Linked DNA regions of Cricetulus griseus. The protein of the gene in region 1 interacts with the protein of each later gene in a pairwise test. Links are inferred from orthologs where the notes say so. Each region holds a gene or a part of one and is shown on either strand. Other genes may lie near its edges.

What was found.
Region 2: the proteins of Spred1 (region 1) and Il16 interact in binary tests that used the Homo sapiens proteins (3 or more experiments, as listed by UniProt). The link is inferred for Cricetulus griseus from reciprocal best matches to the Homo sapiens genes SPRED1 and IL16.

The regions. Positions count from the first base shown.
Region 1 is NC_048599.1:61,428,122-61,437,785, forward strand, and holds the start of Spred1 (sprouty-related, EVH1 domain-containing protein 1), read right to left. Parts: upstream 6,235-9,664; 5' UTR 6,115-6,234; coding exon 6,083-6,114; intron 1-6,082. UniProt on the Homo sapiens protein: Tyrosine kinase substrate that inhibits growth-factor-mediated activation of MAP kinase. Negatively regulates hematopoiesis of bone marrow.
Region 2 is NC_048596.1:114,020,940-114,029,168, reverse strand, and holds the end of Il16 (pro-interleukin-16), read right to left. Parts: intron 8,141-8,229; coding exon 7,882-8,140; intron 7,611-7,881; coding exon 7,488-7,610; intron 4,642-7,487; coding exon 4,454-4,641; 3' UTR 4,280-4,453; downstream 1-4,279. Other genes in the region: Stard5 (stAR-related lipid transfer protein 5), read left to right, coding at 1,047-1,194. UniProt on the Homo sapiens protein: Interleukin-16 stimulates a migratory response in CD4+ lymphocytes, monocytes, and eosinophils. Primes CD4+ T-cells for IL-2 and IL-15 responsiveness. Also induces T-lymphocyte expression of interleukin 2 receptor. Ligand for CD4.

The DNA.
Region 1 (9,664 bases):
ACTTAAAAGTTTCTGAGGTACAGATCAGATGCTCACAAATTTTATATATCTTTTTATTCAAAATTCACATTTTTAATTTACCATGCTATCGGGCATTTACTTAAATATATCAAAAATAATAAAATTAGCAAAATCAAGTGACCTAGTGTGTCTACCATTGATAACACCAGAACAAATCATAAACTATTAGCATAAAGAGGGCCCATAATGCTTAGTTCAAACTCCTTTGATCACAAACAAGTCAAGTGTAACCCAGAGAGGTTATCTATCACTCACCCCTGATCACAGAACTAGTTTCAAGAAAAATGTCTCCCAATTAAGTTTAATGTTCATTGTATTAGACCACAGTGCATTAGTTAAAAGTTAAATAGATATGCAAATGACTTCTGAATATTCACTTTAATTCTATTATAATGCAGTATTTTAAAAAATTCTAGATATTATAAAACATTTTTTGTTTTGTTCCAAACAAATTGTTTCTACTTTACCACCCAGAACATTAAGACAGTCTGGCCGGGTGTTGGTGGCGCACGCCTTTAATCCCAGCACTCGGGAGGCAGAGGCAGGCAGATCTCTGGGAGTTCGAGCCAGCCTGGTCTCCAGAGCGAGTGCCAGGATAGGCTCCAAAGCTACACAGAGAAACCCTGTCTCAAAAAACAAAACAAAACAAAACAAAACAAAAGCAACAACAAAAAGTCTGAATAAAATTTCATTCTCTGAATTTAAAACTGACATGAATTCTCAAAGACAAACATTTCAAAGCCTAAGTACTCTCATACACTAGAACTAAATTTTCCTTTTATATATGGTAACTTGATAAAAACTTAAGATGTGGTATTCCTAGATTATCTCCAGGAACAAACAACAGATACTGATGAAGAAAAAATTCAATGTCAAACTTAATACTGTTCAAAAAAAGAAAACAACATTAGACTGGTAAACAAAGTATATCATACATTGAACATATAGTAGCCACTAAAAGTCACATTCTAGAAAGATAATTAAAACACAGCAAAATATTTACATATATCAATCCACCATAGTATACACTGTAAAACTACTACAGTCAGAGAGAGGGTGTGTGTTCCTGTGAGTGTCCATAAACATTAGTTACAAAATTGTTTTTTGGGTTTTTTTTTTTTTTTTTTTTTTTAGTTTTTCCAGACAGGGCTTTTCTCTGTGTAGCTTTGGAGGCTGTCCTGGAACTCCATCTTATAGACCAGGCTGGTCTCAAACTCACAAAGATCCACCTGCCTCTACCTCCCCAGTGCTGGGATTAAAGGTGTGTGCCACCACCATCCCGATACTTATGAAACTCTTAAAGCATTTTTCACAGTGCTCAGCACAAAGTGAAAAATCCAACATATAAACAACATCATCAAAGTCACAGGTAAAGGAGTCTGCACACAATTACATAATATTATAATCCTTGTTATCTCATGGTAGCTATGCAAACAAATTATTCATCTTTGAACTAGCTTTTGATCTTGCATGGGTGGGTAAACTATTTCTCAAATTTTAACTTAAATGCAACTCTTCTGGAAGGTTGGAGAAGAAATGTAGACCTCTCTGTATGACCCTTCCAACACTTAGTGAGATCTATTAGTCAAGTTCAAGTTACCGTCATCAGAGCAAGTTTGTCAGTCTTTCCCCTTCAAAACTTCTCCATCACCAGAAGCATACAAATAGGGAGCCTATAATTTTTACCCCTTCCCCATCAATGAACTTTTTTATTCCTAGCCAGTTTCCCATAGGTAGCACTATGAAGAAGCTGTAAGAGGAAGAAACTTTCAAATCTTCAAAACTGATAAACAGATAGACAAATGACTAGCCTTTTGTTAATACTGCATAGCTCAGAGGCCAACACAATGACTACTCCAAAAGTATCTATGATAGTTTTAGGCCTCAACTATTGTTTCTAGAACTTGAGGAAATCTAACATGTCAAAAATGAAACCAATTTTGGCCTTAGGAAATAAAGAGCAAATCTTCTTTAAAATATAATATAAACCAGGCATTAGTGGTGCATGCCTTTAATCCCAGCACTCGGAAGGAAGAAGCAGTGGGATGTCTGTAGTTCGAGGTCAGCCTGGTCTTCAGAGTGAGTGCCAGGATAGGCTTCAAAGCTATACAAAGAAACCCTGTCTCGAAAAAAACAAGAAAAAAAAAAAAAAAGGTAGCATAAATAATTTTCCTATAATCTTTCAGCCTAACAAAACAACTAAATGTATAATTCACACACCAAAAAAGTGTATATGAAGGGGCAATAACAGGCAGAGCAATGAGTAAATTTACATTATGATTTTTAAAATCTGACTATAAGTATGGATCAATACAGAACAACACAGAAGGACAGAATGTTGAAGAGCATATAGCACAATTGAGTCTTCTGGAGAAAAATTATTTCCACAAGCTTTTTTTCCTTGAAAAAATATTTTAAGCATGCTAGCATATAGTTTAAAAACATACAGTCTAAGACCAGAAAGCTTGATATCAAAAAGGAGGAAAGCTGAAGCAGGTGAGCAAGCACTGAGCTGGACTGAATTCTAAGCAAATTTTACATTACAGATTCATAATATCTATATAAAATACATTACTTGAATAACTGTCACAGATTCCCAATGCTTCTTTCCATTCAGTTCTAGAATAACTTTCTAACTATTATGTATATAATGTATGCATAGACATACGAATATATAAGACAAATGAAAGAAAACTTATATACTCCCACTGTGAGGTACATTTTTAATGATGCACTAAATGGTATAATCACAAAATTTGCTTTTGACAGGAGAAATTCTGTCAAAACTCTAATGAATCTCCTCTAAAGTTACTATAATCCCAACTTGATATTAAAAAGCCTAGTATACTGACATGGCAGATGGTTCTGGCTTTATTTAAGCACAATAAACGGAATTCTTGGTTTTTCAGCTATTTCACTTCTCCAAGTGCTTTGGCCAAATTGGCAAAGAGCATGTAGCATGATATTCACTCAACACCAAATTACAAAGGCCCTTAGGTATTATATAATATATTCTTAAGTGTCCAAAATTCAATTTAAAAGGTTAATTCATTATGGTACAACTTTATTTACTGGAGTATCTGTTTCTGCAAAATGAAAAACTGACACATCTGAAGTACTAATTTCTGCAAAATATAGTATCTTCGAAAATAAAGTCATGTATGGTAGTTCCGATACTTATAGCATAAAGCAGTTTACTCTAGAGTACATGTACTGTCTTTTGAAAACTCAGATTAAAAAATTGTTTTATTACACTTACTTGTGACTGTGTTGAGGACAACTTGTGGGAGCAGGTTCTACAGTATAAGTCCCAGAAATGGAACTCAGTTCATCAGGCTAGATGGTACAAAGTGCCTTTAACAGTTGAGCCATCTTACCTGCTGAAATATTTTATTTTTTAAACATGAATTTGAAAGTGTGGGTGCTTCATCCTATTCTCATTCATTTCCTCATTTGTCACTGTTAAAACAAAGCCTTTTAGATAATACATCTACTAATTCTTGATTAGATATACAATCACCTCAGTTAGCTATTTCTCTACTAAAAAAAAATCTAAATTCAAATGGTTTTCAGAATGAGTATTCTAAAAGGCCTTATTATATTTCAGTACAACAGCTATCCATTAATTTTTAAAAGTTAACAGTCTTCAAGAAATTAGTAATTTTTCGCCTTCTTTAAAAGGCTAAAAACAAAGAAAAATGAAGCAATAAAATGCTAAGAACAATTTCTACTGTAATTAAATCCCTTTGAAAAAGGGAAAAAATAATACAAGGCCATTTTAAACTATACCTAGAACCATGAGTGCCCTACTGTATCTTTCACTCCTTCATAACGTATGATTTTAAGTAATTTTTGAATTTCCATTTTCAAAACTTCACCTCCTACGATAAAGATGAGATCTACAAATGACCAGATTAAAATTGACATTCTAAGAAATCCACTTTGTGGTTGAGCTAAGGCACAAGTAAACAATGTAAGCTCTAGCAGCAATGACTACCAGGTGAACACAACCATTTTCTAACGTTAATTAAAAAAAAAAAAATGCCCTAGGAAGAACCTTTCAGAGGATAATACATCCTAACATAGACGACTCCTTTCCTGGGGAACAATGTATTAATAAGGCAGGATATATTTGTGAAAACAATTTTAAAAATCTGGATGAATTATTTCCAAAGTGTTCTGTTTCAAAGCATCAATACCTTGAGGGTTAAAAACATCGGAAATATTTTTGTTTCATTTAGTGCAACAAAGGTTCCATCCACTGAGATCTCTCTCACACTTACTTGCACTTTCAATTTGCCATAATACCAAAAAAAAAGGCCCGTTTTGAAACAATCTATCATATGTCTGCATTAGTACACACCCCATCATTTGTTCCTCAGCCGCATCAAGGAAATAATACTTTCTAAACTATTAAACTGGTAAGAAATCTTTCCCCATCTCTAAAATAGGTAAGATTTTATCCCAGCTGCTTTCCTCCAAGATACTAATTAAAGTCCCCGACAATCCCTTCAGCATTTCCGCAGTTTTTCTCCTAACCCAGCACCATCTGAGACAGGCTTCTAGATCTAGCTCAAAATAGGTCTAGTCTGCGGAAGGCAGTGACAGTGTACTGCACTGTGAATGGACAGCCAGGTATTTTATGAATGGAGGCGATCACGTGATCCCAGCACCTCCCCGAACTGATATTTCCCACATAACTGTGTCAACATTCTGAGAACTGGGGTAGTTGTTTGTGTGTGCGTATGTTCTAAAATTTAATCTAAAACTTCTAATTCTCCTCACTTCCCGAACTCAAAAATCTACATAAAGACAAACAAGCTTCGAATGTTTTTCTTAGGAAACCCTTTCAAGTTGTCCAAGGTGATGGATGTTTAATTATTTTTTTTATGAATGAAGTGTGCTATGCAAATGAGGGCGATTCACAAAAAAGAGAGAACATGGCGGCCACTTCTGCTTCTAGACTGCACTGACTGCAGCAATCCACCTCCTTCCACGCCCTCTCCCTCAGTGTGTGCTTTTCAAAGAGGGGGGGACGCTGCCTGGTATTTTTCTAGCTATTTTATGCTAAGCGGGCTTCGGCACTGGCCCTTAAAGCCTTCTCGAAGAGGTCTGACTTGAGGAATGTACTTTATTTAAAGGAATGCATCCTCATTTAACTCTTCATAACCCTCCAGAAACAAACAAAACTTGAACTCAATCACAAGAAAACGGACGCCAATATTCTGCCTCAAATTAACTCCCTTCTCAACAGGAAAATCTTACAGCACCATTCTTCCTCCAAGCGGCTGCTATATTTAAAAGGCACAGTGCTTCGTTTGGAAAACATAAGGACAGCCCAAATAAGCAAAAAACTTAAAGTCGCGGAATGCTCTAGATGAAACTGACAAAGTCACCAACGCGTTCGGCAATGTAAACGGTGCTTTATCACAGACGAAAGCCAGACACTAGCATTCAAAATTCCTAATTGTTCTGTTCTTAATGAGGACGAGTTCAATATTCGCCAAGGTCTAAAACAAAACAATAGCTCAACATCGCCCACACTCCAGGTGTTCTTAATCCTATTTAATTCTTAAAATGTTTCCCTAACCCTATTTTTTTTTTTTTACCAGACCAGTATAGGTCATAAGTTTAAAAAGTGGGACAGGGGGCGAAGGCTTAATCGGCAGCATTTAAGAGTCACTGAGTCATCGAATTAGGATTCGAGAGCAGTTTGCGGCAGGAGGTGCACCCACACATTAGTTTCCGAGCGAAATAGATGTAAAGGGAGATGGCTGGATGTTCAAGGTGCTGGGGGGGGGGGGGATGCAGGAGTGAAGGGCAGGCAAAGGGTAGTTTCTACTCCACTTTGAGCCACCCACATTACTCCGTCTCGGAGACGTCCGATTGCTACACCGCCTCTGCTCCGCACTCGATAGCCTTCCCCAAGCAGGGAGGCGATTGCAAAGATGGAAAGGGGTGCTGCCATGAAAGAACACAACCCGACGACACATCGGGCATCTATCACCTCCCGGGCGGGACGGGCTGGGGGGGAGGGGGCTGCCCACCAGGGCTCGCTTACTCGTTGTCAGAAGTCGCCGTCTCCTCGCTCATCTTTCCCTCACCGTGATCCGCTCAGGAGATGAAGGAGCAATAGCAGGCGGGGAAGCAGCGGCAGCGGCGGCACCGAGGGACGGCGGGCCGGCGGCGGCGGCGGCCGGCGGGGCGCGCGGGCAGCGGCTCGGGGGCCTCACCATGGTGGACGCCTCACCCGGAGCGGCGCCCCGCGAGCCGGGCAGCCCGGCCACCCCCGCAGGGGGGCGGCGGCAGTGAGCGCGGCCGTGGCGACCCCAGCGGTTCGCTGTGCCGAGGCCGGGTGCGACGCCGAGACGGCGCGGGCGGCTGCAGGCGCTGGAAGGGACGCGGCCGGCGGCTGAGGCGGTGCAGCTCTCAGGGCGCGCCGACTGGAGGGCGGCGGCGGGGGCGGGGGGCAGCCGAGCGCTGGCTGCGGGCGGCGGCGCGGTCCGCCGAGGTGCCGCGCACCATCTCCCGCCTGGCCGCCGGCTGCCCGCGCGGCGCGCCGACCCGGTCGGCCCTCAGGGGCTCCCTCAGACGCGCTCCAGCTGGGGGCCGCAGGCAGGGCGCGAAGTGGCCGTCCGAGCCCGAGGGCACAGTTCCGAGCGGCGGCGAGGAGGGCCGAGACCAGCGCAGCTCCGCGGGCCCGCTCCTCACGCCCGCGAGAGGGGAGCCGCGAGGGGGGCGGCGGAAGCTCTCACGCCGCCCGCTCCTTCCGCCGCGCGAACCGGGGGCGCCCGCGGGAGAGGCAGGCGAAGTAGTCCCTCGCGACTTCTGGGGCGCGCGGGAGCAGGCGGGCGGGCGAGCGGACGGACGTGGGGCGCGGCTGCGAGCGGGCAGCGCGGGGCCTCTGGGAGGTGGGGGAAGACCTAAAAGCCACGGCCCGCAGGCGAATCACTGCAGCTCGAGATCGTGGGCAGCATAACAAGTTTCCGAAAAGTAGTTCCCTCCTCCCCTCGCTTCCCAAATCGTCGGGCAGCGGGAGCGGGGCGAGGAGGGCGGCGGAGGGATATACCGCTGCACCGCGCGCGTGTGCGTGCGCGCGCTCCAAACTCTTGGCACGCCGCGAAAGGGGGCGGGGGGTGGGATCTGTGAGCAGAGCTGCTCCGGGACTGGCATTGTTGCGACGCGCAACTCCCCGTTACTCAGCCTGGAATGTCCAGGTTGTCTCTACAAACAGGCTGCACATCCACCGTGTGTTCGAGGAAGAAATCAGAAGGCCGCTCCGTTCTGCTCGGTGCGCGTGCACGCGCGCGCGTGTGTTGTGTTTTCCTTGCAAAGAATGGAACTGGCTTGAGTTCATCTCTAGTTAGTGGGGGTTACAGGGCAGGACTGCAAAGCGAGCTCCTCCTGCTGTCCCTCTAGTTGCATTGCTGTAGTCCCCTAGCTGCTTGCACAGGGGAGTGAGGAGAGAAAGTGTGTGTGTGTGTGTGTAGAAAGAGTTGATTTCAATACCTCGCAGCGCGATTCTCACTGCGCAAACAGCATGCAATGCAGGGCATTCATTTCTGAAAGCCCGAGTGCTTGTTAATGGAGAACGGCTTCCATTGAAGCCCGGGGTAGGCGGGTTACATGAATCTGGCGCATCCAGCGGCACAGGAAATAACTCCCGCTGCGAGTGAGGTTGCATAACTATAGCGCAGGAGATGCCTGTGTGGCACGAACGGAGGCGGAATGGTTGTTGGATAGGCAGCTGTCACGTTTGCATTGTCAGAGGACAATGTATGCAGTCATCCCAAGAGGTCCTTTTTGCATAGGAACCTTCTAGGGTTCATGGCTGGAGCCTGGGATCTTTGTGACTGAAGGACTAGGAATCTCGGGCTCTATAAATTCTATTATCTCTTCGCTATCAACGAAGTCAGCCTATATACAAGATGGCCTGGGGGACTGAATCCCAGGCGCTCCCAAGTTCCTGTCGTGTCTCCCCAGGCGGTTCTGCCCTAGGCTTCTCACTTTGTTCTCAAGTTTACTTGACCTCTAGGGAAGGAAACTTGCAGCTCCAGCCACCTTGAGGGATAGAACAATTCCAGAGGAAGAAAAAAGTGAGAGGGCCTCCCAAGGAAACCGACACTCTCCTGCCAAGGGTTTCCAGGAAGCCTCAGAATTGCTGCTCTCCGGATGAGTACACATTGGTGTGCTAACAATATTGTGCACATAGGAGTGTCCAACGTATGTTTGAGGAAGGAATGAGAACGATAACCAAGCCAGCCGTGCACCAAAAATCCACGCTGTGGATCACTGAAGTTTCTTTATATAACTGCCTTCCGGCCACGTCTGCAGGATTGTTGATCTTCTGAGCAAGGAAGGAGCAGTGGTGAGAATGAGAAAGAAATGAGCAAAGCCTAGGATAAGAGCACTACCCCTACCATTTTGAACTTGATTATGATGTGAAGAACCTGAAACCCAGAGTGTTGATGCTAGTCAGCCCTCCAAGTACTGCCACTAACTGGGCTTGCCTGGCAGGGGCCTATAATTCCAAATAATGAGAGGCATGAGGCAGGAGGATTGCAAGTTCAAGGTCTCCCTAGGTTACAGAACCAGTTCAAGGCCAGCCTGTTTAACTTAGCAAGACCCCCGTATCAAAATAAAAATATTTAAATTAAAAAGAGGCCAAAAGATCTAGCCTGGTAGTAGAGTACCTGGGGGAGGGGGTGTAATACTTGAGGCCTGGGCTAAGTCCCCAATACCGAGGTGGAAGTGTAAATCACCCAGAGACTGCTCTTAAGCAAGTCACTTAAACTCTGCCTAGTGTTGTGGGCTAATAGCATCTACTTCATGGAGGTTTTATATGGATACTGGAATAACAACAGTAGCAGGGTGGTGGCGCATGCCTTTATCCCAGCACTTGGAAGGCAGAGGCAGGCACATCTCTGTAAGTTGGAGGCCAGCCTGGTCTACAGAGGGAGTTCCAGGACAGCCAAGGCTACACAAAGAAATCCTATCTAAAAAACAAAACAAACAAACAAAAAATTAGAACAAATCCAGAGGTGGTAGCTTTGTAAAACAAGTTATAACGCCCATGTCAATGTGATGGCATGTGAAGGGCACAGAGTATTGTTCAGTCACTCAACAAATGACCATCTGTCATCTTCTGTGTACCCACTAGACACATGACCTGGCCCTTGGTAAGCCATCAACAGTGATAACCATCATAGTTATGATTAAGGGTGAAGCTGACCATTTGCAAGGCAGCTTTCACTTTTAGGAGGCACATCTGTCTGAGGTTTCTGTGATGCACAGATATAATTAGGATCAGCTCTTGGGGAGATGAGAAAACTGGCTTTGTTATCATACACCAGGCAATGTGCTCTCCACTTATGCTCAGAGAAAGAGAGCTTACTGAAAGGCTCAAGTGTGGTCACCAGCCTGAATTCATGCACCTCAGCTGATTCTGTGCCTAAGGACAAGACACAGTGGGTGGTCAAGCCATCAACTCCTTGTAGTTAGGATTCTAATGTGACCATTTTAAGAGGACATTTGTAGTTCCCTTCACTTACCAGTAGTTGATGATCTTACACAGACACACATATTACATACACACACACATATATATATATATATGTATATGGTCTAGGACCAACCTATATAA
Region 2 (8,229 bases), on another chromosome or scaffold:
ACAAGTTCCACGTCAGAGAACCTCTGAGGTGCAATGTTGTGTGGTTTTTCTGATGAGACCAAAGTTGTGGATAGTATCATTCAGATAAAATGCCACATGGTGGGGGAGGGAAGGGATGCCACATGCTTTCTCCAAACCTGGCCACTGCAGAGTTTGTGACCATGAGGACCCCTCCAGGTTCCTCTTTGGTCATGCACTACTTCCTCTTTTGTGTGGAATCTGATTTTAGCTTCTGGATTAACCTAATCATTGTTGCTACTTCACCAGTAGATGGAACCCTGCATTTGGGCGTCTGCCACCCCTTGCCAAAGTCTCCACACACATGTAGAAATTAGCCCTCAGGTCTCTAAAACACAGCTCAAAATCTGAATTTAAGGTTCCATTTTCCCCCTAAAATATGATTGAGGATTTCCCAAGACTCCAGTCCATAGAAATTATAGTTACCATTATGTAGTATGTTTTGAATTAATATTGAGCAATCTAAAAAAAAATCTGTTCATAAAATAGTAGTAAATGAATTGCATGCTAAGTAGCAATTTTTTAAAAGAAAAATCAGCTTTTCTAAATAAAAACTGAGAAGAATGGCAATCTTTTCCAGTTTCTCCAATTTCTTTCATGTCAGACATAATAAACACATCTGTGACAGAGTGTGCTGTGGGGTCACAAGTCACATAGGCTAAAAACTCCACTGTGTGTTCATAGAAATCATTGCATGGAAGGAGTTTTAACCTTGCTGACCTGGAAAGGGCCAGGATGTCCCAGAAGTCGCCAGCCATCAAAAACACAGCTGTTAATAGTCACAAGGAACATCTGCACACCCACCCAGGGCATGGCATCAGCCCCCCAATGTGTTTGCAGTGGGCTGGGCAGTGTGTCTCCTAAAAGATACATTATTATCCAGAACAAGGTTGAGAGGAACCCTGGGTACTGAGTCTGGAGCAGGAGTAGAAATGAACACGGTGTCTGGGCTGCTTCTGCTGGTCATGGCTCTGGGCTAGATACTTCTGGGGTACATATCTAACCCACCACTGCTGTTTCTTTCTCAGGGAGCCTAACAAAACCAAGCTGGTCACATTCTTCCAGACAGACCTGAGTGGCTACCTCCCTCAGAGTGTGGTAGACTCCTTCTTCCCTCGCAGCATGGCTGAGTTCTACCCCAACCTTCAGAAGGCAGTGAGGAAGTTCCATCACTGATACAGTCGCCTATTGGAAAGAAATGCCCTTCAGGAGCTCCAGCTGTTGTGCCTCAAAGAACACAGAAGAGCTACTGTGGCTGTTTGAGATGCCCTAGTGAACAGGAAGTCTTGGGGAGCCAGCCTAGGATAGCATCCCCACACACACCTCTCCTTCCTCTTGGGCTTGGTGTGGAAGAAGCTGTCCATCAGTTTGCAGTGGTACACACACACACACACACACACACACACACTTGGCAGGACAGGTCCTGCTATGGCCACTTTACAAAGACATAGCTCAAACACCCTTTGGTTCCTTGTGGTCCAGGGTCCTGTGCGTTGCTGTCAGACACCTTGTCTCTCTGCTGGTCTTAGAGAATCATTGTCTATCCTGGTCACTAAGTCCTGCTTCCTCGGGCATCTGGAGCACCCAGACTTTTGTACCAGACTCCTGTGTTCATTTTGTGATAAATTTTATATACAAATTTTTAACACAAGACTTTCCCCTCCTTACAAAGACATAAACTTGGAAAATATATTTTAAAGCACAGACTGAGCCTTAAGGAAAAACACTTTCTACCTAATGTTTGTTGTATCTTCCATCAGAATTGTCTTTTCTATCTGTTTGTCCCTTCATGAGTTAATGTTCATGTCCCCATGAAACCAGCTTGAATCTGCCCCGGGCCAAATTATATCTTTGGGAAGGAGTGGGAGTTCTTGTGTCCTGTGTGAGTGATTCCGAGTAGGGCCAGCTACTCCTGTGTGCATGGAGGACTCTGGGTAGAAGAGCCCCCTGGCATATACCTGACTCTGTCCTCAGTCATGGGGGTGAGGCAAGAGTGCTCTGGTTTTCTGGATCCATCAGGCCTTGCTGCCATTAGGAAGGAAGGAAGAATAAGTCTCCTGTGCTGTGGGACTACACAAGCCTACAGTTATCTAGCAATTGCCACAATACTGGCCATTCCAGTAGGGACAAATGCTGTCTCCTTTCTTTTCAAATACATGTAGGTTTCTGCCTTTCAAGTGAAGAAAGGAGAGATCTCTGTTGGCTGACATTGTGATTGCTTAAAGACTCTTCAGAGATATGGTGCCCCTCACAGTCTTTTAGTAGCTTTTAATAATTCCTCTACTCTTCCTTTATTTGTTTCTCACATCATTTCGAGGGAGGAAGGAAGTCTAGTCAAAGGGCTCATTTGGACACATTTGCATTTTGATGAGGCTGGTTCAGACATTCCCACACTCTGTCTAGATCTGTCTGGATTTCCTGCTGCTGCTTTGTTCCCTGGAGTTTGGATACTAACTGTTGATCTCCTGTTGTCTCTCTCTGGTTTTGTCTCCTCTGTGTTAAGCCTGCTTGCTTTACCGTTCTTTTGAAGGTGATCCACCTTGTTTTTTGAGACAGACTTTCTAATTGGACTGAAAGTCACCTAATAGGCTAGGCTGGATGCCCAGCGAGTTCTAGGAAGCTGTGTCTTTCTGCTTCTCCGGGTCTGGGATTACAAGTGAATGTCACCATGCCTGGTTCTTTTGTTTCCATTTGTCTATTTGGTTGTTTGGTTTTATTTGTTTTTGTTTTTCTGGTCTCTGGGGATGAAATTTGAGTCACCATGCTTGATTGGCTTTTAAGCCCTTTCCTGACAGCTATCTCCCCAGCCCCACATCTTTTATTGTTAGATCAAATATAACTTCTAATAGTTATCAAAGGCTGCTAGGAATGGTATCCTGAATTTTTCATCTACTTTTGACTGCTACAGGATGTAATTCCAAGTGGGCTGGAGAAGCATGCTCAGAGTAGGTGAGACTGAGCTATACAAGAGTCACTGGAGGGCTTTGCATGAAGAGAAGAGCACAGTGGGGGCTTCTGAGTCCACTTCAAATTCTGGAGAGGCCAGCAGGTTACATTGGCAAGCTCCCATTGCAGTGCCCTGAAATATATGGACTCTGGTGTTTTGCCTGTGACACTTGCCAGGCCTTCAATGTCATCCTTATTTCAGAGGAGTGGGGATGAGGAGCTGAACCCCTGGCCCAAACCTACTAACCCATACTTGCTATGGATCATCAAGATTCACATTGAGTTGTCCCGAGCTTGGCTATCAGATATTCAAAGGTGACCGAAGCAAATATTCTATTGGTCCTGCACATGCTGAGAACTGGCTGAGAGGGTGTCTTTCCTAGTGTGCTGTTATAACTCTCCTGGGCCTGCTTATGTCTACCAGGTCACAGAAGGAATGACAATCTCTGCCCACCATATCCCAGCCAGACAAGCCATTCATTGTCCTGAGGCTTAGTACCTTCCAATACACCAGCACAGGACCACCATTGTTGAAGTGGTGGTAATTACACATGACTGTCATTTAACATCAAGCAGAATGCCTGACATGTGACAGATGGGACATCGGTAGAAATTTGTATTTTACATTTTACACCCATATCCATTCTGGTTCATCCTGTGAACACATCTGTCTACACCTTAACTCACAGCGCACTCCTCTATCTCCTGGTTCCACCCTTTCTAGGATCACTTCTCAACCTAACCAAATAGTCTTTTGCTTGTTTGAAAGTGTTTTTCATGACTGGTTGCATCTTACAAAAATGTTCCTGACAACATAATACCCTTTCCTTGAGTCCAGGCAGGTTTTGCCTGCTGTCAGTGAGAATACAATGCAAGCAATGCTATGAGTCTTTGAAGGTAGAACATTTAAATAGATGCAGCTCCTGTCTGGCTATGGTATGTGTACCAGGCAGCCTGGCATCACAGCACAGAAGCCCAAGCCATGAAAAGACCACTTAGTTATCACTCAGAACCAGCAACCAGAGATACAAGCAGTGACCCTTCCTAGGACCCCAGCCCAACCTTGAGTTGCTGTAGATGATGCTTAGTGGGGCCAAAAGGAGCTCCAAGTCCTGCCTATCCTGCAGATTCATAAGACAAAACTTGCTGCCATGGGGTGGCTTTCATAGTACCTGGGTAATGTTCAAATCAGGACATGGGTTTCATAGAAAACTGCAATACACCCAATTTATTTTGGCACCAGAATAGTATCACTAAGCTGTCTATATACAGTCTGCAAGTTGTATCAGCCACTTCTGTGTGACTCTGTCCTGCCATTTAGAATAACCCTCTTGGTGGGTAGTGTCCCAGAAAGTCCAAACCTGAGCAGCAGCTACCAGAAGCACACCTGGGCTTTCCCCAGCCTGGGTGAGGTGGGCAGCAGAGACCCTGAGAATCGGCAGTGATGGGAGCTTCATGCTCCTGCATTGTCGTAGCATCGGCATCTTGTCTAGGGGTCCCCAGAAGCTATCATCTGCTTGCATTGGAGGCCCTTCCTTCTTATGACTACAGTGACAGGCCCATCAGGCAATGCCTTGATGACATTCCAGGCTTCAAACCGAGTAAGACCTTGCACGGCAGTGCCAGCGAGCTGCAAGATTTCATCTCCTTGCTGGACCGACTCACTCTGTTCTGTCCCTATAAAGAAGGAGAACATGGCAGGTGATTCTGGGCTTCACAGACAACGGGAAGAATAAAAGGCACTTTCTGAGGAACCAGGACAGCCAGAAGTGGGTCACACACCCATCCCTGGGAGCCTGTCTGTGGTTCTAAAGTGAAGCATTTCACAGCAAGGTAGTTCAGAGTTTGGGAACCAAGACTCAGCTCTGTTTTCAAGTGAGGAGATGACAGGCAGTTGGTAGGGAGAAACCCTGGTCACAGGTATGTAACAGGGGTTTAAGAAGCAGGGAGAAAGGCACGTGGCACTCTTGCTAGGCTGAGCTGAAGGAAAAAGCTTATAGATTCAAGATACCTTTATTCAGATAAATACCAGCCAAACACAAGCCAGAGCATGCCCAGGGGCAGCAAGGCAGGGAGGCCAGAGAGAAGGAGCAACCGAAGGGGAAGAGAGTGTTCCATGTGCTCCTGGTTGCTTAAGAGCTGATGCCACGTTACTCTGACCTCACCTTGACCACGCCTTGACAGGCGTGGTCAGGCACATCTGTAGCCAGCCCTTAGAAGGCGTGGTTACGGTGTCTCCCTACACTGAGTGGACTGAGAAGTATTTCTGGGTCTGTCCTTGCATGAGTATTTTCCCCTATCTCTGGCTACATCTTGTATTCATCAATAGCAGTTCCAAGCCAGAGCCCAGTTAGACACTTCTACAATTTCTAGAGAAGCCCTGGAGCTCTGGGTCCTCTCCTTATCTATCCTACTTCATACTGACTCCCTTCTTCTGGTAATATCATTAGCAATGGGTGAGAAGGGGTGTGAGTTAGTGAAACATTCGTGAAGCAATCTTCACAGGGTTTTTGGCTTGTTTGACTGGGGGAGAACTCTGTGTCCACCCAGAAAGACCTGCATAGCACCCACTCAATCAAAGATGCATACAGAAACCATGACATCTTCTTTTACTGTTCATATTGAAGGGAAACCTCCCGAATTTATCTGATACCATGGCCTTTACCAATATTGAATATAGAGTATAGAATAATAATGAAAATATAGAATATTGAGCAAGTACCACAATGGGCATTGACCCACATGTTCTGTACTCATGTACCTTGGGGTACACACCAATAGACTCCCTTTTTACAGGTGCAGAGACCAAAGATGGAAAGCCTCACTCAGAACTTGAAAGTGGCTCAGTTTTTAGGTCTAGGTTTAAACTTTGACCTCCAGGCTCTGGCATCCACATCCCATAGTGCCACACCTTCCTGTGGCTGGAGGCTCATTCCCATGTACACTCGTGGACCCAGAATAATGAAGTGACTTGCCCAGGGTCCTGCCACTGGACATGGCGAAATTAACATTAGAACCCAGGTCTCTCAGCTTCGGCTCCCTCAAGAGCTGAAAGCATTTCCCCAGAGCTGCAGTTAGCATGGACACTTGGAGTTAATTACCATGTATGACTCAGTCTACCCACTGGTTTTCATGAATGCTGCAGAATTTAAAATCAGCTAGCCATGAAGGCTCATGAGGACAGGTATTAGGGATGAGATGCCCTTTGGATCCCAGTTCTAAAAGCTCCCAGATACACACCCATACTTTTTACCTCTTCTTATGGATAAGGAACCTCTAGACAGGTAAAGTATGGTCACCTGGCAAGTTAGAGACAGGGCTGAGACTACACCCAGAGCCTGGCTTCTAACCAACATTTCTTTCTCCACATCCCTTGTTCCCTTGCCCAAGGCTTCCACCTAAGAAATGGCAAGAAGTTGCAGGTAGATTTGCAGGGTAGCTACAAGGTGTTCATAATTGTCTCAGGAATAATCCATATCCAACTAACCAACATGTCACATTGTCTGGCAGCCCAATTCATAATGAATAAGACATCAATTGGAAAATAAACACAAGAACCAATGAATCCAGGACTAGAGTAAAGCTAGCCAGACTGTGAGACAAGTGCTAGCCTCTGGTTTTACTCAAAACATTGGCATCTTATGCATTGTGGGTTGGTTGGTTGGTTGGTTGGTTGGTTGGTTGGTTGGTTGGTTGGAGACAGACTCATATAATCCAGGCTGACCTTTTACTCACTATGATCTGGAACACCTGAGTGTCTTGTCTTCACCTGAGTGCTATCACAGCTGTATAATTTTTAAGTTTAACATTTATTTTTGAGTACACTGTGTGAAAATGGTATTGATCTTTCTCAATGCATCTTTCGGTAGCCCTCAACTCTGTGCTTCAAGCCAGAGTCTTCCTTGCCTCTTCATGTCCTTGGTCCTGCCAAGCTGAACCAAGCCTGTTGTGGGATGTTTGTTCACTATGTGAAAATGTATTTCTGTGATTGGTTTAATAAAGAGCTGAATGGCCAATAGCTAGGCAGGAGGTATAGGCTGGACTTCTGGGAAGAGAGAGGAAGTAGGGAGAGATCATTGAAGTGCAGGGGAGACCCCAGGAGAGAAACCAGGAAGTGCAAGATAGAAGACAGGTTACACCACATGATAGAATGTAGATTAATATAAGTGGGTTAATCTAAGTTATAAGAGCTAGTTAGGAACAAGCCTAAGCTATAGGCCGAGCTTTCATAATTAGCAATAAGTTTCTGTGTTATTATTTGGGAGCTGGCTAGCAGGACAGAAAAAGACTCATTACACAAGCCTAGTACTCAGTCATGTGAGAGGACCCAGCAAAAAGAGAAGTAAAGGCATGGCTGAGCAAGGGCACAAGGTGAGAAAAGCAGAACTGAATGCATAGGGTCAACACGTGACTCAAAGGGCGTGGGAATCGACAGTGGCCCAGAAGGGTCTCAGGAGTTTTGGGTTTTGAGTGCTTGCTGCATGCCCACAACTGGAGAGGGTATAGAGGGGAAAAGGGCCCACCTTTGAAAATCCTGTTAATGGTGAGAGGCTTGTCTCCATGCAGGGAGCCTTTTCCTCCCTCCAGGCTGAAGCCCAGCCCTGCAGAGGTCTTCTCCAGTGTCACTGTGCAGACAGTGGCCTCCACTGCAGAGAAAAGCACATGGGCTTGGTCAGTGCTCTGCTCTTCTCTCAGGCCCAGCTGCCCAGGTTGATATCAGCTATTTAACCACACACACGGAAACACAGACTCACATCTCTGCAGCACACCAGGCAAGCTGGAAAGGTGTATTGGGGCTTCACATTACCACACAGTGCCACCAACAATGGATCTAAATGGCCAAAGGCAGTCAGTATGGGGCTCACGTGGGGCCTTTCCGCACGTGAGTCCCCATCCCACTGCACTGGGAACACTTACTAGATTCTACTGAAATGTCACTGGCTGCTGAAGATGATGCTGCAGAGTCAGTAGAGGAGTTCAGGTCATGAGTGGCATCCACAGTTGCTTTCCTGGTGACAATCACAGCTTGCCTTGGGTCCCGAGCTTGGCGGAGGATAGCTAGGGCATCATTGTGGGTAGCCCCCTTGAGAGATTTGCCATTGATGGAAAGAACCTCATTGCCTTTTTGAATTGTGCCTTCCTGGGAAGCCAGGCCATTTGGAAACACTCTGTGAACCTAAACAAGCCAGAGGAATTAGGACCCCCAAACCACCCAAATCAGCTCCCATCTGTGATAGCAGGGCACTCCAAGCCAAGTATCCAGCC